Linked DNA regions of Drosophila melanogaster. The protein of the gene in region 1 binds, or shares a complex with, the protein of each later gene. Each region holds a gene or a part of one and is shown in the gene's direction. Other genes may lie near its edges.

Region 1 (11,057 bases):
CCTCATCTCAAATAGTATTCAAAAATCGGTCACTTGTGAAATATTTACCTGGATATTTTTTGTCACCGAGACTTTCGTGTCGTTAAACGTATACTCGCCATTGGCCACCCGGTTGGCCACTCGTCCGAGGGTCCCACCGATGTAGGCTCCCTTGTTGGCCAAGTAACTGGCGATGTCGTCGAAGCCGAGGCACACATCATCCACCTTCTTGTAGGCGTCCGGCAAGCAGACGCTCTGGATGATGGCCCCCAGTTGGATCACTGACACGGTCATGCCCTTGGAGTTCTTAAGCGTGTACCGGCGCACCATTTCGGGCGACTTGGTGAACGGATTCACGGCCAAGCCGAAGATTTCCTCCTCTAGGGTAATCGACATCTCGGCGCGTCTCGGTGTCGTTCCTTCCCCTTGAAACGGCTGACAGCAACTGCCTGGGTATCAGGCATACTCCGATCCGGCACACCTCTGTTATTATGAATTGCCAAAGTCGTTCGGGTCGCGAGCTTCTCCCTCAAAGTCAAACCGGGCAATCAGCTTGTCAGAAGTCGATTGCCCATCCCCCGCATTTTACCGCCCACAATAATGAGAGATAAGCTGTCCTGTAATCGCCACTTGACTGGAATTTAGAATAGTTTTTCAGGGGCGCGACTTTCTCGAGAGCTCATAAAACAGAAAAAGCTTTTTGTTTGTTGTTGTTTGCTTGTTTGCGGCGAGTGTTTGCATTGTATCTGTATAGTATGTCTATAATCATTTTTCGCCACTTAAGTTGATAGCAGTACTTTTGTATGTTGTATGATTATATTTAAGAATATTTAACAGAAAAAATCAGTTAACGGGTTTTTCTTTCATGTTTTCAATCTTTCGGCTTATATATGTACTATACTTACGCACCCCACTCACTGTGCTTTTCGTCACTACGAAGACTTCTGTGTACAGCGATTGATCAAGTTTAATCCTTTGGGCTAAAGAACTACATCATGGTTCTACTTAATCGTCTGACATAATGGGTTATAAAATATCTCATGTGCTGGCCCCCAAATACATCTTTTAGATGATTTGTAGTTTCCATGATCAATAATTATTTATGCAATAAAAATCGAAACGCGATTTTTAGAATTATTTAATTTGATAAATATTTTATTTAGCAATATTTACATTTTTGAGCAAGAGCTGTGCCATCAATATAAGTTTGTATGTACATTTTCATTAAACAAAATAAATGCGGCCCGTTCTCACAGGAGCTAGTACTTGTTAATGTTGAACAGCCGCACGCCGTGGAACTGCGGCAGCTTGGGAAGCGTGACGACCACCAGGGATATAAAGTTTGGGATAAAGTGTTCCGTGTTGTTTCGGGTGTACAGACAGGTAAGTAGGAAACTATAAAAAAATCAATTATTTCATGAGTTTCTATGTTAGGCATTATATGGTAGCAATTACATTACTAGTTCAATTAAACTGCAGTACATAAAAAGTATTTATTGAAATACTTTGATCAACATTAAAACAAGTTTAGAATTTAAGTCTTCATTTAGTTTTAATTTTTTTAAATAAAAACCCACCTATATTGGCCGACTTTCAGTACGTATTCACTTACAGAACAATGGGAACAGCTGTGAGGAACTTGCGCGTTGTGGTCATCTGTACCCCGTCATCGATCTGTTCCCAGTGCGTCCAACGCCGGCTGGGATCGTTCTCCGTGCTCAGCCAGGGAGCGCCCTTGATGACGTGCAGAAAGTACAGGTGGGCCTGGCAAGAGGGATTAGGATAAGGACTGACTCCTCAACGGCGCCATGAGCACTCACTGCATTGTGAAGCAGGTTGGTAGCCGTCCAGGCCCATGGAATGCTAACGAAGGGCACTGATAAGAAGAGCAGGTGCACCGACAGCAGGCCCAGGAGGTATGCTAGCCAAAATCCCCGGGCACTCAGCCAGGAGCTGTTTGGATTCGCCTCGCCGTGGCCTCCCGCAATGGACGTCATGTGGCTGAATTGTTAACCTTTGGTTCCGAAACACTTTAATAACAAATATTTATCATTTACGCTCAATGTGACCGCGCATGCATACAAATATCGCTCTGCACTTTGATGATAATAAATATACCAAAATAATTTAGAGAAAACAGAAATTTGAAATACTTTAAATGTTTAATAAAATTTGAATTTAAGCTTTTGCAATTTTCTATGAAATATAACATCTACCTTTAGTAAAGGTTATGACTACTTTTGATTTGTCGGACCAAACCTATATTCAATATAATCCGTATATCTGTCGTAGTTTAGGTAAGTACGAGGAAGAGAGGAACGCTTAAGACTTATCATGAATTTAGCGAAATAAAATTTGTTTAAGTCGTAAGCTGTATTTGTTTACTTATTTGATTAGTCCTTAAAGTTTTTTTTAGCTGATATTTATTTTTATAGGATTATAGTTTCTTTCAAATCTCAAGAAACTTTAAATAATCATTTTCGGTTTCTTGGAACAGAAACCCCAAATTAAACTTTATGCCAATAAGACATTTAGAAATCATTGGAAATTTTAAATAAATATTAAATCATCGGTATTAAATTATGAGGCCTGTAATTTATTTTTTAACGAAAGAATGTTTGAGCTTTTCTGTTCATTACAATACCCTTGTAGCTTAAGAGAAAATTCGAGTAGGAAATGAGGCACAATTACATCATAAAAAATAGAATGTAAAAGTACCAGAAGGATGTATAGAATATAGATGTTAATTGCTTCATTATATTTACCCCTCATACTAAAAAATATAACATACATAATTGAACAGGCAATTGATACAAGCTTTGAATCAGAATACATCGAATATCAAATGACGCAGTGGAAATATCATAGTTCCGTTTTATATTCCAGTATTTTATTATAGCGTGACCAGCCACTGTGAAGGATCAGCCATTTTGTTGTTTTGGCGTTGAAATTTTTTTGCCATGATGAAGGCATAGAAAAAAGGTTCTGAGCTATTTAGATCGAGAACTTTTTCATTTGCCGCAATTCTTTGTCAAAAATGCCACAGCATCATTAAGTAAATACAGTTTACTTAGGAACGCATAGATATGAGCGGATCCAATGCAAAGTCCTCGGGGACTGGTAAGTACTAATATATACCCCCATAACTAAGATGTCCGGAGCACCACTGACACAAATCTGCACAGGCTTCGGCAGCCACATTCCCAGCATCGAGGAAAAGAACAAGCAGATCCAGCAGGAAACCATGATGGAGAAGCTGCGGGCCAAGTACCGGAACAAGCCAAAGAGCTACGAGGAGATCAAGAAGTCGGTGCGTATGTACTTTATCGAGAAGCACTACCCTCTGGACCCCCTGTGCAAGGCCACGCTGCAGTCGGCGCTGGACAAGTTGCAGCACTACATCAAGGTCACGTCACGCCACGGCCTTGTGGAGCGTTTGGAGAGCCTCTCGCGCCAGTTGGGCCTCAAGTTCATGGAGGACCAGCAGCTTCTCTTCATATCAACGGACATGTTCTACGTAGAGATCCTGCTGGACGCCGCCGGCAGTCTGTCGGACGTCAAGGTGCACCACGAGTGCAAGATCGAGCAACAGTCCAGCGAGCTAGTGGCCTGCCTCAAGTCTGGCGACTTTGCAGACTTTACGGTTCAACTCGAGGGTCTGTCCTCCATTTACCAGCTGAATGCCGAGCCCAAGGTGAAAAAGAAGGCGTTTGTAGCGCTTCAGGCCATGGAGACGGATATCCAGAGCCTATACCAACTGCACCTGCAAGGTCACTCCGGAGACAGCTACTCACTTATGACAAGTTCATCGGTGGGTCTTGTGCTGCCCCGTCGCGGTGGCCATCCTATGAGGCTTACTTATTTCTGCCCGCCGCTCCACCTTCCCGAAGGGGATCCCAAACTGGCCAGCGGCGATTTCACCATCGACCAGGTAATGCGAAGCAGCTACGGACTGAGTGCCACTATCAATCTCGAAGGCTCATCAGCCAACAAACTGCAGACTTTGCCAACGGTGACTTTGGTCCGCGATGCCCAAACGGGGTTGGAGGTTCCCACCTATGCCCAACTTAACCAGAACAACTCGCTGCTGATGCCGGCCACGTTTGTGCTTCGGCTGAACAAACCCATGCCTGTTTGCCTGGAATCACTAAAGGCTCTCGGTCTGCCCGGTCTAGACTCAGTTGCCACTCCTCCTGGTCCGCCCACCACAGTGCTTAATCTCATAGTACAAACTGCATCGAAGCAGGCCATTAAGAACACACAGCGCGGCCTGTATGTGAATTTACCTAAAGAGACGCACTGCTATTTCTTTACCGACAACCGCAAACTGCAGGGAACTCTGGTGTCATCACTGCCCTTCACTGAACCCGCCCAGGTTCCGCGAATCGTGGCGTTCCTCAAGAAACAAGCTCTCTTCTACACCCTGCTCGCAAGCTGTGTTCGTGAGCAGCAGAAGCAGTATAATGGTGAGTTGGGTGCTCCACTTCCCCCCACATTCCTGTTTTATGATAATAATATTTTTTTTATGCTCATTCGTCCCAGATATGGACAGCACTGTGATACTGGAGGTAACCGCCGTTTCATTTAATCAAATCACGGTTGAGCTGCAGCACCCGTACGAAGAGTCGCTGGCCACTGTGGATTTTCTGCTTGAGGATGGTCAGCCCACGTGCAGCGTTTACTGTCTGACCAACGAATACGAGCTGCTGTCCCAGAAGTTAACCCGCACCGCGCGCAAAGTGGTATCCATTCCGATGGTAATCTACAAGTTGCTTAAGTGCTGGGATGAGGAGCACGAATTCAAACTGCATGGCGCGATTGGACCTGGATCTGGTTCTGGAGCAATCGGAGGTGGAGGCATGAGTGGTGGTGGACCTGTCTCAGGAGTAGGCAATAACTTTAGCCAGTTTTCAATGGATACGCCGACGCCTTCCGATGGAAGCCTACCCGGAGGTGGCTTCGCCAACATTAACAACCTTAAAATGGATGCGAAGTCGCGATCTCTAGCGGATGCTTTTGCCGCTTCTACTTCGGCAGCAGCGGCCATAGCGGGTTTGATCAATCTTAAGCGGGAAACCGATCCACAGTCTGGTAGTTCGGCCAGTGGCACCACGGTCAGCGGCAGCTCCAGCTCATCCGGCTCCGCCAAGACGAGTGACCATGACATTGCTGACAAGTACAAAAATATCTGGAAGGACAAGACTCCAAATTTGAAGCATTGCGTCAGCATCACCCCCATCCCAGGAGATGGAAAGTCTGGATCAGCTGGGGGAGTGTCCGGGGTCGAGGTACAGCGAACGGGTGGTATCGAAATTATTCCATTGAATGCCCAGGCGGCTATAGCCGGAGGAGGTGTTACAGCCTCATCCAGTGCCACTCCCACGACTATAACTATTACCCCAATAACTGGCAAGGATCCCAGTAAGGACTCAACCAAAAAAAGTACCGCTGCTTCAGCTGGAGTAGGTGTGGCCGCAAAGCGTCCCCACGAAAGTAGCACAAGTAGTTCGTCTACGTCCGGTTGTAGTGGTTCTGGCAGCTCCATGTCGTCTTCAGCCAGCAGCGGCTCTTCAGATACGCAGAAGGAAAAGAAGCGCAAGAAAAAGCGCGACGATTCGCCCATGGGACCGCCGGAGAAGATCTATTCTAGGCAAAACTCGCCTGCAGGTGGCGCAGATGCTTCCGCAACTGGTGGAGTGGTTCGCAAGTTTTCCTCTCCCTCGTCGTCACCCAAAGCTGGTGGCGGTGGACAGGGTCTAATGGCCGGAGTGCCGACTGCCCGTCCCAGCCCCAAGCACTCTCCCGTGTATAGCAGTCCCAAGCACAACACCGCCTCCAACAGCCCGAAGTCGCCGTTTGGCACACACTCACCCAAACACGGCTCTTCCGGAAAGCCGAGCATGTCAACGCTTAAAAGTGCAGCTACAGCTGCCACCATCTTAAGTCCCAAGGGCGATAAGTCCTCGTCAGCTGTGGGTAACACATCTTCGGGACCATCCGCCTCCTCAGGATCCAGCGGAGCTACTGGCCTGGTGAGGTCATTTGCCAGCGTTGGAGCTCCGCCTCCACCACCTCCAATTCCTCCATTAGCGAGCTCGAGCGGATCTATCAGCAGCAGCCAGAGTTTAAAGAAGGAGAAAACCTCTTCGGCATCCGGTTCCAGTTCCACATCATCCTCGGCAACTGCAGGTGTCGCATCTGGCGGAGGTATTTCACCGGCAAGTGTGGCTGCTGCAGTAGCTGCCCTGAAATCCTCACAACAGCAGATGAAGTCAGTCGCCAGTCTTTCGCATCTGGCGGCGGGCGGGGGACTGGGTAGCTATGCGGCCCCGTCGGGAGCGGGAGCATCTGGTGCAGCCGCAGTGGTGGTGGGAGCAGGAGCTGGCGCTGGAGCGGGGGCCTCCGGACTGGAGCTGAGTGCCCTGCGCAAGGGCATGGCGGGAGGTGCGGTAAGTCCGTTTTCATTATAAGTGCTCCACTCCACACCACACCAACCCACCCCCAGCATCTCCCACTGGAAGCCTAACACGTAGTTGACTCTCTGCCACCTCTCCTAACCAATGCAGAATCAAACTCAGAGCGAACCTATCTTTAAACTAATGCAAATGCTGTATTTACTTTAGCTATAAAACGATTTGTAATTTGCCTACCTCTGCTGTAGTTGAAAATGATTATATTTAGTACTATGATTATTATTTTTGTTAGTGTTTCGTTTTGCCTTTTCTAATTTTTGTAAATACATATGATTCAATTATTTGTCATATATACTGCTGCATCCGTTTTATTTTCGACCAAACCCAAAACTCGTATGGTAATGGGGCTTATCCCCAAAACACCAGCTTAAACCTCTTTTTCTGCATTGAGAACGTATGTTTTTATTATTAGTTAATCTGTTTGATTTGTATAGTTGTTTGGCCAGCATGTGGCATGTAGAAAACCATGGCGTACTGGTTCACCAAGTTTATAGTGTCTACAGTATTGCTGGATTTATAAGAATGTGTATGCATATGACTTTTAAGCTTTGTTAAGAACATCAGTAAATAATGTGTAAATTAGTAGTGCTTGGCATCTTGACTCTACGAGTATTATAATTTGATTGTTTCCCCTTTTCTAGATTTAGTTACAAGAGTTCCTTCTCACTTAAATATTTACTACGTTTAAAATTAGTGTTTAATGTGCTTATGATGTACACTTTGAAAGTAGCTCCACAAGCGTTTGCCTCATACATTTTCTCCTCAAAAATATATTTCGTATCCGACTTAACTATAAAGCTAATTATTAACGGGGTCCATTCTTCTTTCTTCCTGTTTGTATTCCCTTCCTACACTACCAATGGTTGTGAAATCCCACAATTTTTTCTTTTGCTACACGTGATGTTCCCCTTTTTGATTGTTATAATTTCTTTTCTGGTTTATTTTTGGTTTCTTTGGTCCCTAACACACACACAACCACATGCTTACTTTGTCAGGTTAGTTTGATGACGTCGACGGCAGCTTTAGCGCCAACAATTCCGGCACCAACAACAACAGTGGCAGCGGGCTCGGCAGCGTCATTGGTGTCTCCAGTCTCAGCGGTAGTGGGTCAGGGGCAGGAAACAGCGGGAGCAGCGGCAGCAGCAACGCTGGCAACAGCAACAATTCTGCAGCAGCAGCCACAGCCGGGAGCAGCGCCAACTAGTAGCTGCTTAACCACCAGCGGGGGCAGCAGCGACTCCGCCGGGAGCATCAATCCGGCCGGAGCCTCCACGGAATACATGGTGAAGCCCAGCAGCCAAGAGGGCCTCAAGCTGACCATCAACAAGACGGGAAGCAGCAAGAGCTCCGGCACCGGCTCCGGCTCTAGTTCCTCCTCTGGCCTCCAAGCGAAGGCAAAGAGCAGCAGCAGCGGCGCCACGAGCTTCGCTGGGTCCACTGGATCCACGAAGAAGCAGCATACCGGACTCAAGCCGGGCGTTAACAGCGGACCCGCTTCCAAGAAGGCCACCGCAGCGGTCTCGTCCGCCACGGCATCATCCAGCAAGCATTTCTTCCAGAAGGCAAACTCCTCGGGCAATCTCAGCAGCAAGCTCAGTGGGTCGGGATCAGGTGGCGGAATTCCGCTGACTAAGAGCAACAGCACTAACTCCTTCCAAGAGCACAATGCCCCCAGGCGGCGTCCCAGCATGGGAGCCTTGGCTAGCGGCAGCAGTGGAGGAGGCAGCGGGCAGCGAAAGTTAGGCTCCGCTTCGGGAGGAGGCAGCGGATCTTCGGGGTCGGTATCGCCGGCCCTTAGCGGCTCAATGTCGCAGCCACCGCCGCGATTCGATCACCACACGGATATGATGACCATCCTCCAATACGCTTCTCCGACAATGGCCGCAAGCATGGAAGGCTTCATCAAGGGGCTCCACAACAAATTCCAGATCCCAAAGTTATCGCAGAGAGGAAGCGGAGGCAATACAACCAGTGGACGCAGCACGCCAAGTGGCAGTTCAGAACCGGCTTTAGCGGGAACATCATCTTCGATATTAGGACCTATTGCCAGCTCTACTGGACTGACGGAGCCGGAAGCGAAGCCGCCGGTGCCTCCTTCGCAGTCTGGCAATGAAGGACTGCTCAATCTTAGCAGCACGGCGGGTACACCATCGGCGGATGGGATAGATGAGGAGCTTTTGGCTAGCCTGGCTGGCGAATGACAGAAGAAAGACAGCCGTCATGAGATATTCCTGTTGCTCTATGCGATTTTCTCTTAAAGCTAGCATAGTGAGTTAGTTTAAAGCCATTAGTTACACGATTTTGTTTTATGATGCATAGAAACTAAGGATCTTATTAGGCAATTTCTTAACTTTATTGGCAGAAAAATGATTTAAAACTCCAAAGGAAATAAATAAAATTTTACAACACGATGGCGAATTTGGTACAAAATCTCAGAGATTATTCCCGATTCTGTTAAGTCGATCAAACCGAAATCACCTTATGCTTTAAAAATGCATTAGGTAAATCTTAAGGAAAGCGATGCGATATGTACGATAAAATCGCTCTAAATATGTTGTAGAGTATAATAAATGTATTCAGTTGGAGATTTTTGGGCTTTGCATATTTATTTAGGTGCGGGCGTACTATTATTTTTTAATTGTTGGTAAATAGCGTTGAAACAGCTCGAAGAAAGTTTTTTTCAAACTCTTGCTCAGAAAACCGTTCCACGGAGGCCCTAAAAGCGAACCAAAATATATTAAAGTGTGCAAACTGTAAATGTTTATCTAGTTACCTGGCTGCGTTTCGAATGCCGTTCATTTCTGAGTTGTTAACAATAATATTTAATATGTTTTCTGCGTATTCAACGGCGTCAGTAGCCAGGAATCCGTTCTGACTTCCCGCGGAAGTTTCGACAATGTCAAGCAAAGGACCCCCTGACTTGTGGGCCACCATTATAAGGCCAGCAGCCATGGACTCGACGATGCCGATGCCAAAATGTTCGTTCCACATAGTGTGAATGCCAATGTGGGCAGTTTGATACAACTTAAGAAGGTCTTCGTAAGGGACATTCACACTAAATTGCACATTGTTTTCTAGCGACAGATGCTTTGTCAGGTCCTGCATGTTTTTCAACCGCTCGTAGTCATCTTCATTTCGGCAGGAGCCCACAATAACCAACTTAATTTGGTTCCAAAGGGCCTCGTCTTGGGCCAAGAGAGTTCGGAGCTCGTATATGGCTTGCAGCTGGAGGGGATGGTCTTTCTCCGGGCGGAACTGTCCGACAGACAGTATGATGAATTCGTCGCCTTTTTCCGTGTGCTGAAGGCTCTTTAGGTGACTAACCTCGCACGGAGGGTAAACCCGGTGTGTTTTGAAGGGCACATCCCACAGTTGCAGAATATGATTCTCGGTCCACGAGGAGTTCACCATGATAGTCTCAGCACAACAGCCAACCCACTTGTACATCTGAAAAAAGGGTAAATTGGTATACAGCTGTGCATTGACTAATTCGAATTTGAACACTCACTCTTGAGAAGAGGCGGTAGTAGGCAAGCTTAGTCCAGGTGAGAAAGGGGTTCCTCGCCACGTACTTCTTGTTGTTGTGCGACATCTGTCGCTGCTGAACCCTCTTCAGCATATCGGTGCTAATAACCGGATAGTGAACATAGCAGCCCACCTTGGACTGGGCCAAGTAGCGGAACAGAGGATACGTAAAGGCGTATCCCATGGTGTCGATGTAGATGTCGGGCGGAAACCTGCAGAGTGCCTCCAGACCCACGACCATCGATCCAATGCTCTGGCCCAGCAGAGTGAAATGAGGATAGTTCTTGGCCTCGATCCAGTGGCGTTGCTTCAGGAAGACGAACTTCACATTGTCACTATCGACGGCAATGTTGAAGACATTCTTGGCCTTTTGCAGTATGGAATTGGGAGAAGCGTCTATGTCGCCTGTGTAGATTACCATCCTGGCGTTCTGGTACTTTTCCTTTTAATTACAATATCAAATATAAAGGATTAGTAAAGTGGCCAGAAAATACAAAACAAGTAGATCAAAATAATTGGCTCTCTAGCTATAGTATTCACATGTAATTTACATACATGGATACCCAAAGGCAAACAGAATGAAAAGTTAGCACCCTGTTGAGGAACTACTCCCATGCATTATTATATGTCATTTCTTCTAGTTTTTAGCCGAAGGTAATTAACTCATTCTAATGATAACTATTCTTTCAGCTGGTGATCGATCAACAAGACACGTATGAATGCATGTGAATGTAGGTTTTGCAGTTTTTCCAATATTACCTGTAGTGCTCTCACGGCGCACCACAAGACGCGTTCTCCGCCGCCACCCGCGTTGCAATACGGGTGAAAAATGCCCACGTTGATGCCATTTTCCGACGATGTGTGCAACTTATTCTTCCGGCCAAGCAACCATTGCCTCAGGAAAAGGAAAGAGAGTACTGCCACCAACACAAGCGATAACAACAACCAGAGACTGCGGACAACAAGAGTCAGTATATCTGGCGGGAAAAGGGTAACTATTCTTACAGAAACAGAAACAGAAACATTATCGGCTGTTCTTCAACGATGCATTATTATTACACGTAAATTGACAATACTGCA
Region 2 (8,246 bases), on another chromosome or scaffold:
TCTTTTTTCACATTTTTTATCTGATTACTCTGTGCATCAATGATTTTTCTTTTGGCCACCAGCTGGACTTCCTGATCCCGGTCTTTTAGCCTTAGAAAGTAAATCGCTCGGCGATCAACGAGCAACGAAATGGCTTTCACAAGTCTACTCCAATCCGAGGGCTCTGCAATTTTCTGGAAGATTTCCCCGCACGGCTCACTCTGTCCAACGAAACAGTCTGGACACAAGCGCAGATCCTTCTCGAAAAGTTCCTGGAACACCTCTCGCTGCGGCTTCACCTGCAGCTCCTGCAGCAGGGCCAAAATGAGCACCACTTTCAGTTGGCCGTGTGACAGGTGCATCACAGGGAGCTGCAAAGAGACGGAAGAGAAACGAATGAAGGGGCTTGCCAAACAACAGAAGAAGCCACACGTGTGTGTATCCAAAGAAATGTGCGTGAGGGCCCAGCCTCCAGTCCACTGGCCACATTACCTGTTTGGCAGCTACACGCCAAAAGTGAACCTAAGCACCGAGCCAAAGAGGCAGCTGGTTATGACCGCTTAACGAAGCGTCTATACCCTTTCGCTACATTTAGTTTAATTTGCTATTAAGCTGTATGTATTTTAAGTATGGAATTTCCCTTTTTACTAGTTCCTAAAAGCAATACCAAATGCTTCCATTTATTCTATTATATTTTTTAAGCACGTCTAAGTTATAGATCTTTAATTTAGTCATGATGACAGCTGATTAGATTATGATACCACTATCGCTTTTATCACACCAGCTTCTGGGCTCATGCCGAAATGGTTATCCCACAAGGTCCGAAGAGTATGGCGTCGGGGGGACGGACTTACAGAAATAACTTTGGTTCTGAAGAAGAGCCAATTCAATGGGTTCAAGGTTGGCCATCACGCTGGGAGCAAGAAGCGAATCAGACGCTTAATTTGTAATCTCTGCAGAGGTGGGAGAGTAGCCATTATGGCGATACCAGTCGCATCCTCCAAGACGCACTCCATCTCGCCTTGCCCTGTACTTCAAAATTAAGTGTGCCCAGAATGGACTTGCTCTGTGGCTCATTCTTTGGCGACGACGAGGAGCATAATGACTCGGCTAAAGATTCAGCACCATTGCCCACGACTTCGCCAGTGCCTCAGACTATCAAAAGAAAATCGCGTGTAAGATTTAGCCGCAGCACCATACGAAAACTCCAACTCAACGAACTGGAACAGTTGGGCTCCACAAACGCCTTTTTCAACTTCCTGCTCGCCCAGCGAATTCGGGAATTGGGCTTGGTCGGTCTCAACTACCTGGATGTGTTCAAGTCCCAGCGACTAATTTCGGGGAAACGCATCTGGAACTGCATGTATGAGTTGGCTGAAAGTGTTCGTCAGAACGATATTTAAACCTTTCGGGATAAGAGGAAACTCGATGAAATCGTCTACCAAATGTATTCGTGCGAAAAAAGACCGAAGATCGCTGAGAACGCACTGAGAGATTGGGAGACGCAGCAGAGGAGGAGAGACCTGAAATCGAAATCGCTTGGAGAACGTTTCCCCAAACCGAGTAAGATCAGTTGAAGGTGGCGCGTTGCGCTCGACGGTTGTCGCTATTCTGGTTCTCGCTCAAGTTATCCGAACTCTTGGAACAGCTGGGTAGTCTGGTCTGGCCTGGCGCATAAAGACGCGATATCGGTCAAGTTCAGACGAAGAAGACGACGACGCGGCGATCACTCAATTAGCCTCACCGTGAGGGCGCGTGAAATTCACTTTTAAATTTCCCCCAACTCGATTTTCACATACACAAATTGCTTTTGTTACGATTCTCGCGTGTGCTTGGTTGAAAAGGAATTTGTCACAGTGCCAAAAGGTGTGTGTGTTCTTCTTGGAAATGTCCACTTAGCTCGTAAACTATTCCAATGTTCTAAAAAGCCATAAATTAGCCCTAAGGTCGCACGTGAAACCTTCACCACCTGGGCTAGCCTAACTTTACGCAACTGAGAACAGAGCAGATCGCGATTTGAGGCGAGTCAACAAAGTGCGCAGCAGAAGTCCAGAATATTGATTGACTTTGCAATCAAATTTGCTCAGTTCGAAATTTTCAGAGTCAGGGAATTAGCACTCAGCTTATTTTCGGGCCACATATTGTTTGAAAGCAGCCCATATCCAAGTTCTACATGTGTGTATATATTATTGAGAGTTATTTTGCTTGTCAGTTAGCAGTAATTGGAGGAGGGCACATAAACCACCGTGCTAGCTACCCATAAATTACACATTAGATAACGCCGACATGTGCTCATCGCTGATTTCGAGGGCCCCCATATAAGTCGCGTTAGCCTGAGCCCCACTTGTCCAACTGAGATCTGTACAAACACTTTAAACCGGTTATATACATATAGTACCCGCTGGGAAAACAAATAGCAAACCCAAGCCGGCAATATATGAATAACCAAGCAACTAACCAACCAACCAGCTGGCTGGTAAACAGTCGCGTCGTAGTATTATTTTGGCTTATTGATAAACAAAAGCCTGTCAAGTGTGCGATCGCATATATATATATATATATACAAATGTGTTTATATATTTGCATTCTTGGCCATGACCAAGGAAATCTGATGCATGTCGCGTAAGTGATAATATACAAATCGAATTACGTCACGTTGACTGCAGGCACTCAAACCTCCTTGACTACATATTATTTTTCAAGGGGATTGCGTTATCGGACATTTAAACTTTTCGCTTTGTGGCACACGCCCTTTTAATTAATAGCCATAAAATAGCAAGCGAAATTGGAAGCGTGAAATTTGATTTTTTCTTAAGTGTTACGACTCTTTCAGTTATTTTTAGCTCGAACTAAAAAGAGTTACTAACTGAATAAACATTAAGAATTACCAAGAACGTATTAAACACAGCAAAGACCTGTTTTGGCCAAACATCTATTTTTTCATTTCAACCGAAATCACTAGTTTGCGCACTAACAAAACTTTAGCTATTTCTTTTGATTTTACATCTCGTATCGCTTTCTATTCGCCCGCGCCTGAATAGTTTCTATTATACTTCGAATGATTGATGGCCGCCTATGACACGGGCAAATTGGAAACAGGTTTTCGAATGGCTCATTAATATCTACCACCTTTCTCTGCCCCTTTCGCAGATGAGCATCTCGGCGGTGGATCGCAAAGAGCCGGGCAGTGTGAGCAGCGGTCTGGGTAGGCGATACGGGCAGCTGCTCCGTGGAGCCAAGTACACAGATTGCGTGTTCCACGTGTGCGAGGAGCAAGTGAAATGCCACAAGCTCATCCTGAGCTCCGCCAGTCCCGTTTTCGAGGCAATGTTCTTTGGTCCCATGCAAAACAACGAGCCCGAGCCGGAAATCGAAATCCACGACATAAGCTCTGCCATCTTCAAGGTGCTGGTGGAGTACATCTACACGGGCGTCGTTGACTACAATGGCCTGGAGCTGGTGGCCTGCATTGAGCTGTACTACGCCGCTGAGAAGTATCTGCTGGAGGAGCTGATCGCCGACACGCTGATGGTTATCACCCGCAAGCTGCGATTTGCCAATATCTTGCCCGCTCTAGAGCTAAGTGTTTGCATGGGCCTCGACGGGTTGCTGGAGGTCTGCATGACCTTTTTCATGCGATGCTGTGTTAATAATGGACAGTATATGAGCCACCTTAAGGAGCACTATGTGCACGTGTCCAAGGAGTGTGTGAAGGCCATAATAGCGGCGTGCAAGGAACCGCACAAGTTACTCATCTGGTATGTTTATGAGTGGACACGACAGGAGTGCGAGCAGTTGGGTCTGGGTCCCAGCGATGCCGACTTAGTAGTGCACGACTTGGGTGGCAAAACAAGCGACTGGCCTGCGGCTTCGGGTGCTAGTGATTTGGAATCACCTGCCCTAACTCCGGTGGTTTTGGTGGAGCGCTGCTATTACAAGGCCTGCAGGCCCTTTACAGTGGATGCAGAAACTCCGCTGTTTCGCTTGCGTCTAAAGTGCTCTAGATTTATCTCCTTGATGGGCTTGGTCCTGAACAGCAGGCTGACTCCCAACCTATTGGGTCACGTCCAGCAGCTGGAGTACCGCGAATCGCTGCGGCTGGACCTTTGCGAGGTGCCCGCTGAAAGCGAGGGTCCGGCCACGTCGCCCGTATGGAGTCACGTTGTCCAGAGCCAGAATACCAAGTACAACTGCAACCTGCATCTTGGCTGGCGACGCGAAGAGGCCTGTGTGCTGAATCCGGAGCTGACCTATGAGCTGCAGATCCGCTGGGACAGCAGTGCTTACGGCGCCGAGTATCCGTGCAGCCTGCAGTCCTGCCAGGCGGACGGAATTCGGTTCACTGACGAGGACAGCTTCAGCGGAAGTCTCGTCAAGGGACTGCGCTATGCCAACCTGGTGTAGCCACTTCAGCCGCGATATCATAATTAGTTAGTCCGTAAGACGTGTATGTATTTATTGCCCTAAGTTAATGTACGCTGCCTCAGAGTTCAATAAACTGTGAGTAATATCGCTTCAAACACAAGACGTCTGCTGATAAATATAAAAAGCCGGTTTGCAGCCGTTTTTGTTTGGCGAACGAATCGAACTCGATCGGGGAACGGCGTCCTGGCTGCGAATACGGAAACTTATCTCACCTGTTGTTGCGGCCACTAAAAAAAAAAAATCGGTAAAACAATAAACTATAATATAATCACCAGATGTAAACAAAGCGAAATTGAACGAGGGACAGTGTGGCCAACTGGTCATAATAATTCTTGCTTAAATTGGGGCGACCGTAAAATAATTAACAGTGAGAAACTGGCTATTATTTAATAACTTAATTTTTGTTTAAATGATTAATGATTTAAAGCTGCTGCGCTGTAAAAGCTTTATTTGCTGTTCAGAATTAAAATATTAATGAGCACTATCTTAAATCTAAACATAAAAACCAAACATTTTACAGTAACAATGGAATCAAAAATGCAGTGGAAAAGCGCTAAACACCCGCGAAACAGTGCTGTAAAGTTCTTCACAGAGTAGTGTTGGCAGACGCCGGGTGCAAAACAATAATAGTCCGCTTTGGTTTTTGTTTACGCTGCAAAAATGACGATTTTGTACAAAGTGGAGGGCAAGGAGTTCAGCAAGGACAGCGTTTTTCCGCACAAGAAGGTCCTCTGCTCAGTCTCCGCACGGAACATCGTTGCGTTTAGCGCCCTCCAGAGCGCCATATTTCCGGCTTCCCACGGAGGAGATGCCGGCGATGGATCCTTGCCGGGAGCGGGTTTGGCCGTAGGCGCGAGCAACAGCCATGTGTACGTGTGCGACATCGTGACGCCGTGGGAATACTATAAGGTGTGCTCCTCCAAATCGCTTATCAGCGTCCTCCAGTGGAGTCCCAATGGGGAGCAACTGCTGCTTGGATACGTCGGCGGTCGCGTCGAGATCTGGCAGCCGAGGAACCAGTCAATTAACCTATGGGTGCTGCAGTATTACGCCACCGTGCCCAGCGAGGACATTATAGAAGCACAGTTCTTTCAGAATGGCAAAGGAGTGATCTTCAATGCGCTGAAGAAGGATCACACCTACTATGCGGAGAAGTTCGAGCGGGTGGAGCAGCAGAGGCCCACTCTCAGCGGATTTGGCGGAGTGGCCAGCGAGGGATGCGTGCTACTCACTTCCTCAGGCCTGCTGGCCGCCTTCAGTCTCCCCGCAATCCAAAAGACATCCGCCGCAGGAGCTGATGGTCCTGCCCACGAGGTCGTCGAGTTGACACCCGCGCTCCACAGCATCGGCATATCGCGCAGCTTCATCGAACACTGCAGCATGACGCCAAGTCCATCGGGAGCCCTTAATATCGCTTTCAGCTGTGGCTGGCAGCAACAGTTGGTGCAATGCTTTAAGGTCTCGCTTTCATTGGAGGGCGAACTGGGTCTGGAGCAGCACTTGGCCATCAAATCCGAGTCCCAGACCAGCATATTTCTGGGTCCTCTTGACGGGAGGCGGATCAGTCACCTAAAATGGACGCGAATAGCCAACGAGGATGTGATTTTTATAGCCTACGCTTGTCCAGATGGTGCTGGCAGCCAACTGGAGCAATGGACATTGACACGCCGTCACCAAAGTGTCCACGCCCTTCTCCAGGGTGGAGGAGGTGCCAACAACAAGCCAAATGAGTTCGTGCAATCGGAAAGCTGGGAGCAGGTGGGCAAAGTGCAACTAAATGCATCCTTGGCGGATATCAGCGTTACACGACTATCGGTATCAACGCCGGACTCTTGCCAAGTGTACGCCATTCTGCAGGACAACAGCGTCCAGGTGCTGGAGCCCAACTCGATGAAGCAGCTTAATCACACCCAGTTTGATAGGTTATCTGACGCCAGTGGAGCAGTAAAGTTCGTTAGCGGCGACTTGACACCTAGCAGCCAAATTCTCCTAATCTTTGATAGCCATGCACAACTTTACGCCATGCAGGCACCTCTGCCGAAGCAAGGAGGATCTGGTTTGCTACTTCTGGAATATTGCATCGTTACAGGTTGCGATGCCAGCGATGTGCTACTCCTTAATCTAGGCAACCTGGAGGCTCTGGTGGAGAAGCTAACCGACAACTTTACGCGGCAACCTTCCTTTGTGCGGCACTTTTATTATGCTAATTTTTTGGCCCTCAAGTCCAACATATGCCGCATGCAGCAGCAGGAGTTTGACAATCTCATTATCCTACACGCAATATCCACCACATTCAAGAGCCTCCTGCGACCGTCTGATCTGGGTTTCCAGGATAAAGGACCTGCCGATAACTTGGCCATCAAGCTGGCCGAATCCATTCCGGATGTGGACACCGTGATGCTGAACCTGGACGCCAAGGACTTTACAGTGGAGCCGGTGATGCTGCAAAGTCTACAGCAACTGATTCAGTGGGTCACCGACCTGGCACTCAACATGCTGCATCGTCTGCCCGAGGAGGTAATGAAGACCAAGCTCTCCGGAAAGCGGCCTAGCTACGATATCAGCCGAGACATCGTGGCCATCAGCAGTCTGCGCGAGCTGCTGGTTATGATCCGCATTTGGGGCCTGTTAAACACCCAGTGCCTGCCCGTCTACACCAAGACGATGGACAACATCGATGTGCTAGTGATCTTGTTTCGTTTGCTTACTCGCCTGGCCCAGAATCCTGCAGAACCGGACGAAATGCTGCTGGACGAGTGCAGCCTGCTTTCCAAGCAGCTCCTAATTCCCCAGCCCACCAAGTTCAACCCCACCACGCTGCTGAGTGCCCAAGGATTCGCGGCCGTAAAGTCGGGACAGCTGCAGTTCACCTCCATGGAGGAGCCAACTTGCTTGCAGGACATGGAGACGGAGGAGGTGGTCTTCGCCAGCTCTGTGAAGGATGGCGTGAGCAATCTCCAACTGGGCGCCCGACCCAGCCACATTCGGAGATGCGCCCGCTGCGGATTCGTGTTCGTGAATAACGCCAGCAAAGTGGCCAAGACGTCGGCCCTCAAGGCGTGGTTTAGTAAGTGGCTGCACTGCCACTGTGGGGGCTTTTGGAAGCAGGTTCACTAGTAAATCTATGTGAGCAATGACCTTAGTTATTAAGTATGATTTAAGCTTCAAATAAAAGTACATGATTGCCAGCAATTTTAGTGAAATCAAGAAATTTAATATACTAAATATATTTCTTCTTTGCACGACGTGCTCGTTCAAAAAACTTAAGCCACAGAGAAGTCACCACCATACTTCACTATTTCAAAACTAAATTTATTTGAATAAAATATATTTTTTAACTCTATCTATGAATTGTGGTTGGTGTATTTGCTAACGGTTTGATATTAACAACAACAACATATCGAAGAACTTGCATCACTAGCATGTCAATCGATATCAGGACGTCCAATGTGTCTGTCGGCTGTCGGCAATCGATATCTCCTCTGCAAATAGATATTTTCAGAATAATTGGCTTATTTCACTTCGCCCTAACGCTGCAGTAATGGTAAGTGCATCGAGGTGCAACCTGTAGTCGCCAGAAGTCGAAATTCCTAGAGAACCGAGTGCCCCAGGTCCAGGCTTAACCGAGTGCTGAGTGCCCACCCTGTCGACGTCAAAAGAGGGCTGCCTGTGGTGAGAAGCAACGCCCCCCCGGTCCAAATCCCACGTCCATGTATCCCTGGAGCTCCTCCTCGTACGGCGGCCAGATTCCCAGTGCCGCCAACGTCCGGGTAAATACTCCGCCAATCCCAGATTACGAATCTTGGATATGTGTAATCGTTAATCCACTTATCTTCAATTTG
Region 3 (11,098 bases), about 13 Mb from region 1:
GTCTAGCACGGATCAGTTTTGTTTCAGTTCAATTTGCAACGAAGAACGCACGGGAAAGTGAAAAAGCCATAAAATTCTACCTAGCTATAAAGAATTTCGAAAACTGCAATTCTATGCGAGCTTAATACCTCAGGTAGGGAATCTGAGTTCTAGATACCAATGCAGTTGTTCCGCGTAAATCATTTACACTACCTACTTTATCTGGCTTCATATGTTTGAATTTCCCTGAACTCTGTTGAAATGTAATTAATATGCTCTTTGCAAAAGTAGCCTAGTACATTTCATAAAGGTTTATAAAACAAAAATTGAATCACGTGCAAATTGAACTACAAACTGATTACCCTGCCTCTATTTCAAGTTCTAAATAACGGTTCATTCTGTTGTATTTGTAGACTTTTGATTGCCTCGCAGGATGGGTACTTGTACGTGTATTCCATTCCCACCGTCGAGGGCGCAGAGTGCCAGCTAATAAAGAGGCACGACCTGCGGCTGGAGGACCACTATGCCATGGATATCAAAGGTGCTTAACTGTTCGCTTCTCGCACACACTTCACACTTACACACATCCCAACCAAACCCACAATCGAAACAAATTCTCTAGTTGATTCACCTCAAACTCTAGGCCTTAACAGTGGCGTGAGCATTGGCGGAGCAGCTGGAGTTCCGCCGAGCAGTGCAAGTGCAGCCGGAGCAGGCACTGGTGGAAGTGGCGGTGATGGCAAGTCGGCTGTTTCTGTTACCGGTGGTGTCGACAAACCAAGTAGCTCCTATGCGTCGGCCGTGAAGGGTGACGATCCCGTGGGACCCTCATCCGCTTAGACAAGGTCAATGATCAAAAATGAGAGATGCAGCGATGGTAAACGAAACTCACTCCTCAAAGTAATAAGGACGATGATGCTAAAGTGATTACAATGATGCTTGGCGACTGGCGGCGGCGATAATGATGATGAATAAACGACGGTGGCTCTGTGGCGTCAAGCGTATTTAAGTAAATAAATAGGTCATAGACTTAATTTAGCTCTTAACGTTGTCAGCGATGATTCTTCCTCGTTTTGTACCAGCCAATATTCCTTTGTACGGCCTCTCCCTACCCAAAACATTTTTTAGTTTTAAGCCTCCGTTCCTGGCGCTGCCATTGGAATGTGAAATGCTTTTGTCATACACTCCTAAGTTAGTTGTTAATTAATAATTTAGACGGATTTACAGATTCGCTTTGATATTTGAGTTGCCAGCTTTTTATACAAAATAAACGGCCTTTGCAAATTAGTTTTTAATTTTTTTATTTTTCCAGTCCTCGCGCATCTTCCCTTGACAATCCACCGAACTCGATTTGTATGTAAAGTTCTCGCCTAGCTATTGTTTAATCATATCGAAATATCTCGGATTAAGCACATACACCACACCTATATATATATATTATATATTCAATTTAAAATTTAACATTCAGCTAGCGACACGATGAGTGAAATGAAATTCAAAAAATCGGAGCGTGCAATGGAGGAACAATTTTCGGCATATATAAATAGAATATATTTTGTACAAAGTCAAATATTTTAGAACATAATGTTTAAAATGAAAACAGTTTACAAATGAAACTCATACGCTACTTTATTGTATTCAATAAATTATTTGAATTAAAATTTGTTTGTGGGTGCCTTTTCGGTGTCTTAAAATATATTTTAATATTATTTCCTTTATTTGGCTAAATTCCTCGTTGCAAAAACAAAATTTTCAAAATATTTAAAATTGGCGACAAATTTTAAGATTGTGTGTTTTTCAACACTGTAGGATGGGAAAATTATGGTACTCTTTTGGTATGATTAATAAAAGATACCTCGGTCACACTGAGCGCTGCTAAAAAATATATTAGGTTTAAATAAAATAAATTGCGTGAAATACGAGAAAAGTAAAAGTTATATTACTTCCACGGACGCGAGAGATGAAGGAGAACAACAAGATCCTCCAACTCATCTATGTGGCGTGGCGCGAGCGCTGGACGGACTCCCAGTGGGGCATCAACATAAAAAAGGCAAGGCAACCCAAGCAAATCAACACACCAAACAATCAATGTTCGTGTTTACCAATATATTGTAAACGCAATGAGGCCGGTACATTGAGAATTTTAGTGACTCAAATTGCCCGCCTCCGTGCTCTTAGTCTTGGGCTCGAAAACCGGATCCTCTGCCTGGGACAGTGCCAAAACCAGTTGGCGTTGCTTTACGGAGAGATTCCGGGGTATACGCACCTTCAGCGTGACGATGTGGTTGCCCACGCCCTCCCTGGAGCGCACCCCCTTGCCATTGAGCACCACCTGGGTGTGGGATTGGGTGCCCGGCTCCACACGCAGCTCCACGCTTTCGTACAGACCCCGTATCTGAAAGGATCCGCCCAGAATGGCCTCCGAGATGTTTAGGTGCTTGTCGGTTAGAATGTCATTGCCAACGCGTCGGAAATAGTCGCTAGACGGCACCGACAAGCGGTAGGTGACCTGCTGCTTCGTTTCCGGATTTATAATGTTCACCACATCACCGTCCCGGGATCCGGAAGGCACCGATACCATCACATCCACATTGGACACCACGAAGCCGCGATTCGAACATGTTTCGCAGTCGTTGCGATTTGTGAATCGCTTGCCCTTGCACTGCGTGCATGTGTTCACCGATGAGAAGGTTGGCGTTTTGGTCATGACCTTTCCAGTTCCATTGCATCGCCGACAGGGTTCCTTGCCCACATCCCGATGCGCCATCAATTGTGACTTGCCCTTGCAGGTCTCGCATTTCCGCAAGTAGCGCAGCTCTATCCGCTTCTTGCATCCCACTGTCGCCTCAAGGAAGTCAAGTGGCAGATCGAACTCGTTGCTCTTCAGTTTGTTGATCTCTAGAAGGCGATTCAAGGATCGTGTTCATATCGTGATATAGTGAAAAGTGAAATGGTGTTTGATGTATCTAAAATCCGTCTGCTTACCATCATTTGTCGTCTTATCCGAATCGAACTTCTTGGCCTCCTCGAGGCCCACATTTAGGGGATTGCCCGCCTGTTCAAGAAAAGCGCGCTCATCCTTAATCCCGCCCAGCTGATCGTACTCCAAGCGCTTCGTCTCGTCGGTTAGGATGTTGTAGGCGTTGGACAGCTCCTGGAAGTGCTTCAGCTTTTGTTCCGAGTGCGTCGAGTCGGGATGATAGCGCTTGGCCAGCGCATAGAAAGCCGATCTGATTTGCTGGATGGTGGCGTGCCTGTTGACGCCTAACACTTTGTAGTAGTAGTCCTTGGGCATGCCTCGGCTTTGCGGGTACTTAACAGCCGGAGATGACACCTGTTGAGGCGTGGCTCCCGCTGACGTTCGCTTCGCCTCCCGCTGGCGATCTGGATAGTAGGCTGGTTTCGTGGTCCTGAACTGATATTGACTGATCATCCGCATACAGATCCAGCAGGCAGCGACAGCGGGAGCGCGATCCAACTCCAAACAATGTGACGTCTTCCTGCAGCAATCCGTTGCAGCTCCGCTAATTAAAGTGCTTAATACGTCTCCAGGACTGCGAAATAATTTTAAACGAAACATTTTTTATCGCGTAACGAAATATGCAACTATGTGTGCTAACTATATAAGTGGAAATCCTAACTAGATTTTTAAGTGGTTCTGTTTCTGTTTATTTTATGGGGTTGTGACCCAGATATTGTGTTAAAGTTTGACAGGAAAAGAAAATGTTTCATTATTGTCTTTCCCTTGATTACTATTTCAGGTGCTGCCGAGAGGAGTCAGTGGAGATGTATACAATCTGGCTGACTGTCTGATGCAGCAGGCACTCATTGGTTCCACGGCTAATCCGGTGAGTAGTTGATCTGAGTATTTAGATTGTTTTCTAAATTGTAATCTATGCTTTTCAGTTGGTTCTTAACTACCTGAAGCATTCACTGTGCGCCCATCTCGTTTCTCACGCTGCTGTTATTCGGTGCATTGCCAAATATGACAAATTAGAGCGCGTTTATTGCATTACAGCGCTCCTTGAATTCCTGGCCAGCATCGTGGATGGCGTTACCTGCCGGTAAGTCCTTTTAGTTTTATAAGTCGTTAAAAAGCAGGAGTAAAAATAATTGTTCATTTCTATTTCCAGAATAAAATCTGAGGAAGCGGTTTTACCGAGTTCCGTCGTCCACTTGGTGTACTGGCTGCTTCAAATCTTCGCCAGAACTGTGCAGCACTATGAACTGTATGGTGAGATTAGTGCTGAGCAATCATACATGCTGGACCAGACCTGCGTGGTGATAGATCGGCTTAGCCAGCAGCAGTTCCTGCTGTCTATGCTGTACGTGGGCTGTCACGAAGAGCTCGAAATATGTGGACGGATTCGGGATAAGTACGCTACCATCAAGGGATCGTTGACGAACTCAAACTTTACGCTAAATGCACCACAAGTGGAGCAGCAATTGCAGCAGTTGGCCTTTATAGAAGCCAAGCATCTTGAAATGCAACCACTTAATCCGCCGTCAACACTCGAGAAGATCTCGTGCTGCGTGCAACCCTTACTGGCGGTGGAAGTGCTTCTCAATCCGTGCAAGGACACCAGCTACTACGTGGCTGAGTTGCAGATGCTGCAACGATTAAAGAAATACTCCAATACACGGCTCTTCTACGAAATCATCCGTGCTGGATTCCTCACGCTGAGCAATGTTGCGGATACAAGTCCTGACACTATGTGGGGTGCCTTTATGTTCTTTAAAATGCCGCACATCATTAAGCAATTGCACGCCCTGCAACGGATTCCCGGGGAGCAACCACCACCGGCCGATTACATACCCGAGTTGGTGGAGGCTTTGGAATTGCTCATCGAGGACAATCTGCTGCTAGACTTCATGGATACTAAGTGCTCATGCAATATGATCGAGTTCCTTTTGAATGACTGGACCAAGCAACAACTAGTCAATGATGTCCACGTAAAGAAGTTCGCCAGTCAAAGGTTAGTCGAGAAATCATGCATTTTGTACACCCATCTTAATTATATAATTTAAAACGAACTCTTTCAGGGAAGCCGCCTCTCAATTACTCAAAAAATGCGACAATGGCCAACAGACACCCTCCAATATAAACTTCATCAAGCGCGCAGAGGTTCCGCTTTCCGGAGTACTAAAAACGCTGTGCACCAACAAGGTCCAGGACATGGTTAATGTCCTTTGCCAAGTGCCGGTGGGCAACAGCTTCGAGTTGATTCTTTCAGTGGCTACCGTCGAGGGACGCCTCAAGACATTCGTATCGCGTCTGATCCAGTGCAATGAGAACTCCAAGCCGGTGCCGGGCGACCTGGGCAAGCTATGCGTCATCCGGTCCACTCTGTTTGATGTTTCCTTCCTAATGTTGACAAGCATTGTGCAGACCTATGGATCCGATGTTCGTAAACCCGCCTGTTATTACGCTGCAATTTTAATGAATTCTATTTTACTTCAGGTGGTCTTATCTGAGCGTGGTGACTCATTTTTTGAAAAATGGGTGCGTGAGTGCATGGTGGAAAGGAATAAGCTTAAGAATCCGCGTCAAATTCTTGCCCTCTGTGATGACAGTATTGTCGACGAGCTTTTGCTTAGCTTCAGTAAACCAGAGGCATCACAACTTAAGCCAAACAACTTAAGTTGGCAGGAGACTTGCCTTAATCTGCCCGGAGTGCTTCATCATGTGCTAATAGCTTGGGAGCAGGAAACGCTATCCTCGGCGGACGTTAAAAGTATTCTGGACAATATTAAGAGAAGACTTTTCAGTTTTTCCGTTTGCGCCACTAGTTTTCTATGCGCCTACATGTATTCGGTGAAGGAAACGGAACTTCTGAAACCACTAAACATGATTCAGCAGTTCCTGGCTCCGTTGACCAGCGAAGAGCTTTCCAGCCAGGAAAATGCCAAGGAGCGACTAGCTCTCTCCTATCAGATTATCAGAAAAATGCAACACGATGTGCATCCTGCCCCAAGTACCAAGTCCCGCCTCATTTCACATTCCCCGCTAGTCGAGCAGTTTCGGGAGGTGTGGCGAACAGTAGTCGATGCTGGTCACCTGCCCGTTCGCGCCGCTCAGTCGTTGGAGTCGCTTCTGCTAGCCGGTGGCGCGGCGTGGCTGTCCACGCAGTTGGTGGAGCAACTGCTGGCCTGCAAGTACACAAGGGATATGTCGCGAACCATGGACGTTGTGTTTGCCGTAATGCATCTCGACATTGAGAAGACCACTGAGGCGTTGCTCCAGTACGTGGTGGCTCCACTGATACTGCGACGACAAGGGTAAATACCAATATTTTCTTCTGTATATTATTTCATTTATTTATTATCTACAAATCGAATCGATTTAGCAAGAAAGGATGTAAAAATTGAAACTGCTATGATAGAACTCGTACTCACAATTTGGCAATCTTTTTTTTTTCTAGTGAGGACATTAATGAGCCCCAATCCCTGGTACTGGCCCGCCTCTGTGTTTACTGTATTATTTCCTGCCTGGAGAGCCGCAAAGGAAATGGCACTTCCGCTTTGACGGCCATGAAGAAGCGATCGAGATCTCACGATGACGAGGAACTGGCGGCCAATGCAGCCAAAGTGCGCAAGGTGATTGGCGATGGCAGCGACAACTCAAGCGACTTTACGGACACTACGACCGGAGCTGGCCTGGCAGCATTATTGGGCTCCACTTCCACATCTGAACTGCGGACTACGCCGCTTACTCTAAGAGAACCACTGCAGACGAGCGTGCAGCACATTTTCGCAGTGTTCCTGCAGTTTGTCAGTGGAGATGAACTGTCGCCCAAGGCCGTTTTTGTTTATCAGTTCATTTCGCTGCTGGTGGAATGCGGTGGTGAGAGGGTCGCTCCCGTCCTGCGCTTGCTGCCCAACGGCCTGGTGCAACAGCTCCTGAAAGTTTTGGTCACCGACGACATAAAAGTGGGTCTCATCAGCAGACTATACGATCTGCGAATCCAGGCAGGAAGACTGTCCGCTGTGTCTGATCTTTGCCTGTGGCGAAATATGCAGATGGCCAGGCACAGCATTCATCTGTGAGGGATTTGGATGATTGCCACATTGGGTATGCCGATTATGATTAAGAGACGGGTGGGCGAAATTGCTAAATGAATTGTATTAAAAACTAGAAATTGGTGACTTGACTCGGCTTCTTCTTTGCACGCAGTGGATTTTGTTTTCGTTTATTACAATAATTTGTTGTCGCCGATGTTCGTCTGTGTTTTGCTTCATCTTCTTCAGTTAGCGGGTGTAGGGGGAGGTGTATGGACAGGCTTAAAGTAAGAGACCTTGCGATTCCCTATATCACTTGAGCAGACAGCACTCGAAGTAGGTCTCGCCCACACAGCCACCACGCATCGCCTTCTTTACATTGTTCTCGAACTGACGGCGGTTGGTCTGCAGGACGTCGGCCGCCTCCTTGTTGAGCGGATCCTCGGGATTGGGTTCCTGGAAGCAGTTAATTTGGATTAGTAATACTGTTGGCTTGGGTAATAACAAAAATAGAAATAATGATCGTTAAGTGGTATAAACAAACATTTATATTGAATTGTTTCAGTGGGCGTTCAATTAAGCACACTTAGAAATCAATTGTTCACAAAACAAGACATAAAAAATCAATTGTAACTTGAAAACTGTGGCTGTTGATCAAGACTTATGGAACAAAGCGTATAGCCTCTAAAATAACACAAATCACGAAATACAAACCAAGAATAGAAACTGCAAGCCATAGACGATGGAGTTGATGTTCAGCACTGGATTCCAGTCCTCGCGCAGAATGTTGAGGCAGACGTTGCCATCCAGGTCAATATTGGGATGGTACACCTGGGTGGCGCACTTCACCTTGGGCGGCTCGTGCGGATAGTTGGATCCGACGCGGAAATTGAACACGAAGCGCCCGTCTCTGTAGAAGCCCTCGTCGGGCGAGATGATAAGCTTGAAGTTGAGCAAGTCATTGGGATCGGGAAAGTCTGTGGCGCAAGTGTTTGGCAGGTTCAGTTCGTTAATATCTGGGGGGAGGAAAACAGCCCAAGATGGATAAGTAATAAGCGAGAGTTGATCATACCAGGTGCTGGATTGGAGACTACCTTTCTGTATGCGCAGCTGGGCGGCGGACGCTTTCTTCTGCTGACTGCCCTTTTGCTCGCCGTCTTTCTTCTGCTGCTTAAGCGTGAATAGTTTAATCATCTTGGCGTCCTCGTCTCGCTGGCGTTTCGTCTTCCGCGTTTGGCTGTGCTCGAAAGTTTCTGGCTCTCTGGGGGGCTTTTGCTGCTTGAGGGACAGGTTGCATTGTTTGAAATGTCAGTGGTTTAAGGGCAATTGTTTCACTGAATCTTTGGCCTACCGTTAACAATAGAACTGATGTAAAAAATCACTTCGAGTGCTTTCTATCCTTTCCTTGTTTCTGCCCAGCGATATGTGTAATTAATCGATGGTTGCACCCGATAACAGTCTGCTCGATAGTTGTTGCGTAGTGCTGGTAAGCGGACTTCGGATTCAGCGGGATTCAAGCCAAGTTTGGATACTTCGAAACGAAGAAAATTTTAAAACCTAAATTTTCGACATGCAACCGGTGTCGTAATATATTTGAAAATCATCGTCATAATTTTTTTTTTTAAATATATATATTAAATATATTTATTTAAATTAAACGCAAGTCTTTGATAGCTGGTTTTTCTTACTTCGTTCCATAACTACGTAAAACTTTGCAGATAAATTTAAAGAAATATTTGTTAGCTACTTTGCAAACCACATCTCTATCGGAAACCAGGGCTGCCTTAACCAGCACATGTTGATTAATGCATTACGATTGGGCTCCCCTTGAGCTGTTTATTTTGAATTTCAACAATTTCTGATTATGTCGACGGAGCCATCGGTGGCCAAGGATGCTGTGCTGAAGCGCAGCGAGGCTCTGGCGGAAAACACGCCCCAAGTTAGTGGCTACGATTTCAACGAAGGCTTAGACTACAGTAAGCTCTTCGAATCCTATGTGAACACCGGGTTTCAGGCCACGAATCTTGGCCTGGCCATTCGGGAAATTAACAGAATGGTAAGTTAGTAACTTAAATACATAACTACGATATGTTACAAACCCCTAACACTGGCAGCTGGATTGCAGGGACCAGCCATTGGAAGCGGACCAAATAGACAGCCATGAAACAGACGACTTCATCCGTCGAAGAAGCAAGTGCACCGTATTTTTGGGCTACACATCCAACTTGGTTTCGTCCGGACTGCGAGAGACCATTCGCTTTCTGGCCGAGCACCGTATGATCGACTGCATTGTGACCACAGCTGGCGGCGTCGAGGAGGACTTCATCAAGTGCTTGGCTCCCACGTTCATGGGTTCATTTGAGCTGAGTGGCAGGGATCTCCGCGAGCGTGGAATCAACAGAATTGGCAACCTTCTGGTGCCGAACGATAATTACTGTAAGTTCGAGGACTGGGTGATGCCGCTGCTGGACGAGATGCTGGAGGAGCAAAAATCCCAGGGAACTATCTGGTCGCCGTCGAAGATTATTCATCGGTTGGGCGAACGGATTGGCGATCCTAGTTCCATTTACTATTGGGCTGCCAAGAATCAAATACCAGTCTTTTGTCCCGCCTTGACGGATGGCAGTCTGGGCGACATGATGTACTTTCACTCCTTTCGACAACCTGGACTCGTGGTGGACATTCTGTCCGATCTGCGGAGGCTCAACACCATGGCTGTCAAGGCGGTCAACAGCGGGATGATCATCGTGGGCGGCGGCGTTATCAAGCATCACATTTGTAATGCCAATCTGATGCGCAATGGAGCGGATTACTCAGTGTTCATTAATACTGCCTCGGAGTTTGACGGCAGCGATAGCGGCGCTCGACCGGATGAGGCTATATCGTGGGGCAAGATCAGGAAGGATGCCACCCCTGTTAAGGTGTATGCCGAGGCTAGCTTGGTCTTTCCGTTGATTGTGGGTGAAACATTCGCCAAGCGGCATCACTGCGCCGGCAAAGAGCTGCCCCGAGAGACTAACCAAGTGTAAATATATACGAGAAAATAAGGACAACGCAATCAACGCAAATGTACAGATGTAACTTATTAAGGAATGGTTGGGCCGCAGATGGGTCGTATTGCGAGAATGGAAGTCCCCGAAGTGTTATGCCCCGCCCAGATGCAAACTGTCCGGGCAGGAAGCCATTAAGCGTCGTCGGAGTTGTTGGCTGCAAGTGATAAACACCACCGGCAACAGCAGCAACAGCATTGCACTCCGGCACCTCCAGTGGGCCATGCACATTCCGCCGTAATAGTGGTTCTGCTGCTGGAATCGCTTTAGTGCCGCAAAAATGCAGCTTTTACCGGCGGTCACAGATGCTATATTCCTCGTGGCCTTAGTTTTATACGAATATTCCCTCAGTTCTGCCCATAATTGTTTGCGAAGTTCGCTCTCGCTGGCAGGAAATCGTCCGCCACGGAACAGTGCATCCGCATAAGCCCACGAAATTTGTCATTAATTTTATGCCACTAATGTAAGCGCTCGGCTTCCGTCATTTCTTCAAAATTTTTCTCCCTTTTGGCCAACCAAACTTTGGCTTGTCTGCACGCATCATTAAAGCCATGCGGAAACTTTTTCGCGCACTTACATTTTGTCCCCTCCGTTCCGGCTTCTACGACAGTTGGCACTACATATTTTGAGCTATTGTCAGGATGCAGTTGCGAAAGATGGACTGGCTGAAAGTTTTGGGGATTGCAGAGGCACTGCATTTTCTTTGACAACTTTTTCCCGACTGCTAGCAACTTTTTCTGTGACTTTTGCCTGGCTTTCTTCGAAAATGAATGGTTTTTTGGGAATGCGGCGAGGAAAAACTATTATGTATGTTCTTTGGCGTATGCATGGCAAGAAATGTTGGCTTTATCAAATTTTCGAAATTTATACGCTTTTTTAAGGCCGCTTGAGATGTTTCGCTTTTAAAAGTTTTCCTTTGGGAATTAAGAAAATTAAAAATCCTCTTAATACTGAATAATAATGTGGCATCAAAAATAATTTATTTCTGAAAAACTTATGTTAGCTGCCAAGAAAATCAATTGCACTTATTGCACAAGCAAAATGCCATTATCGGCAGTCAGCCGTCGTTA

The links.
Region 2: MED1 (region 1) and MED16 share a complex: the UniProt entries of both Drosophila melanogaster proteins name them as parts of the mediator complex.
Region 3: MED1 (region 1) and MED24 share a complex: the UniProt entries of both Drosophila melanogaster proteins name them as parts of the mediator complex.

Annotation. Positions count from the first base shown.
Region 1 is NT_037436.4:21,626,304-21,637,360, reverse strand, and holds MED1 (mediator complex subunit 1), read left to right. Parts: upstream 1-2,914; 5' UTR 2,915-3,065; coding exon 3,066-3,099; intron 3,100-3,164; coding exon 3,165-4,445; intron 4,446-4,521; coding exon 4,522-6,428; coding exon of another isoform or gene 6,429-6,449; exon of another isoform or gene 6,450-7,240; intron 7,241-7,447; coding exon 7,448-8,653; 3' UTR 8,654-9,036; downstream 9,037-11,057. Other genes in the region: CG32444 (uncharacterized protein), read right to left, coding at 49-375; ORMDL (orosomucoid 1-like), read right to left, coding at 1,239-1,374, 1,592-1,743, 1,800-1,976; Alg11 (ALG11, alpha-1,2-mannosyltransferase), read right to left, coding at 9,087-9,168, 9,226-9,899, 9,961-10,419, 10,737-10,929, 10,983-11,002. UniProt on the Drosophila melanogaster protein: Component of the Mediator complex, a coactivator involved in the regulated transcription of nearly all RNA polymerase II-dependent genes.
Region 2 is NT_033778.4:22,178,147-22,186,392, forward strand, and holds MED16 (mediator complex subunit 16), read left to right. Parts: upstream 1-4,991; 5' UTR 4,992-5,064; coding exon 5,065-7,521; 3' UTR 7,522-7,746; downstream 7,747-8,246. Other genes in the region: CG11170 (uncharacterized protein), read right to left, coding at 1-341; CG11275 (uncharacterized protein), read left to right, coding at 3,130-4,383; Vps35 (vacuolar protein sorting 35), read left to right, coding at 8,115-8,174. UniProt on the Drosophila melanogaster protein: Component of the Mediator complex, a coactivator involved in the regulated transcription of nearly all RNA polymerase II-dependent genes.
Region 3 is NT_037436.4:8,189,450-8,200,547, forward strand, and holds MED24 (mediator complex subunit 24), read left to right. Parts: upstream 1-1,820; 5' UTR 1,821-1,939; coding exon 1,940-2,029; intron 2,030-2,072; exon of another isoform or gene 2,073-2,122; coding exon of another isoform or gene 2,123-2,877; intron 2,878-2,964; coding exon of another isoform or gene 2,965-3,559; exon of another isoform or gene 3,560-3,667; intron 3,668-3,740; coding exon 3,741-3,827; intron 3,828-3,885; coding exon 3,886-4,043; intron 4,044-4,112; coding exon 4,113-4,955; intron 4,956-5,022; coding exon 5,023-5,383; intron 5,384-5,440; coding exon 5,441-6,258; intron 6,259-6,397; exon of another isoform or gene 6,398-6,401; coding exon 6,402-7,026; 3' UTR 7,027-7,124; downstream 7,125-11,098. Other genes in the region: Atg18a (Autophagy-related 18a), read left to right, coding at 393-520, 602-819; CG7387 (uncharacterized protein), read right to left, coding at 2,123-2,877, 2,965-3,559; NEDD8-conjugating enzyme UbcE2M, read right to left, coding at 7,291-7,434, 7,693-7,994, 8,073-8,172; Dhps (deoxyhypusine synthase), read left to right, coding at 8,843-9,034, 9,093-10,007. UniProt on the Drosophila melanogaster protein: Component of the Mediator complex, a coactivator involved in the regulated transcription of nearly all RNA polymerase II-dependent genes.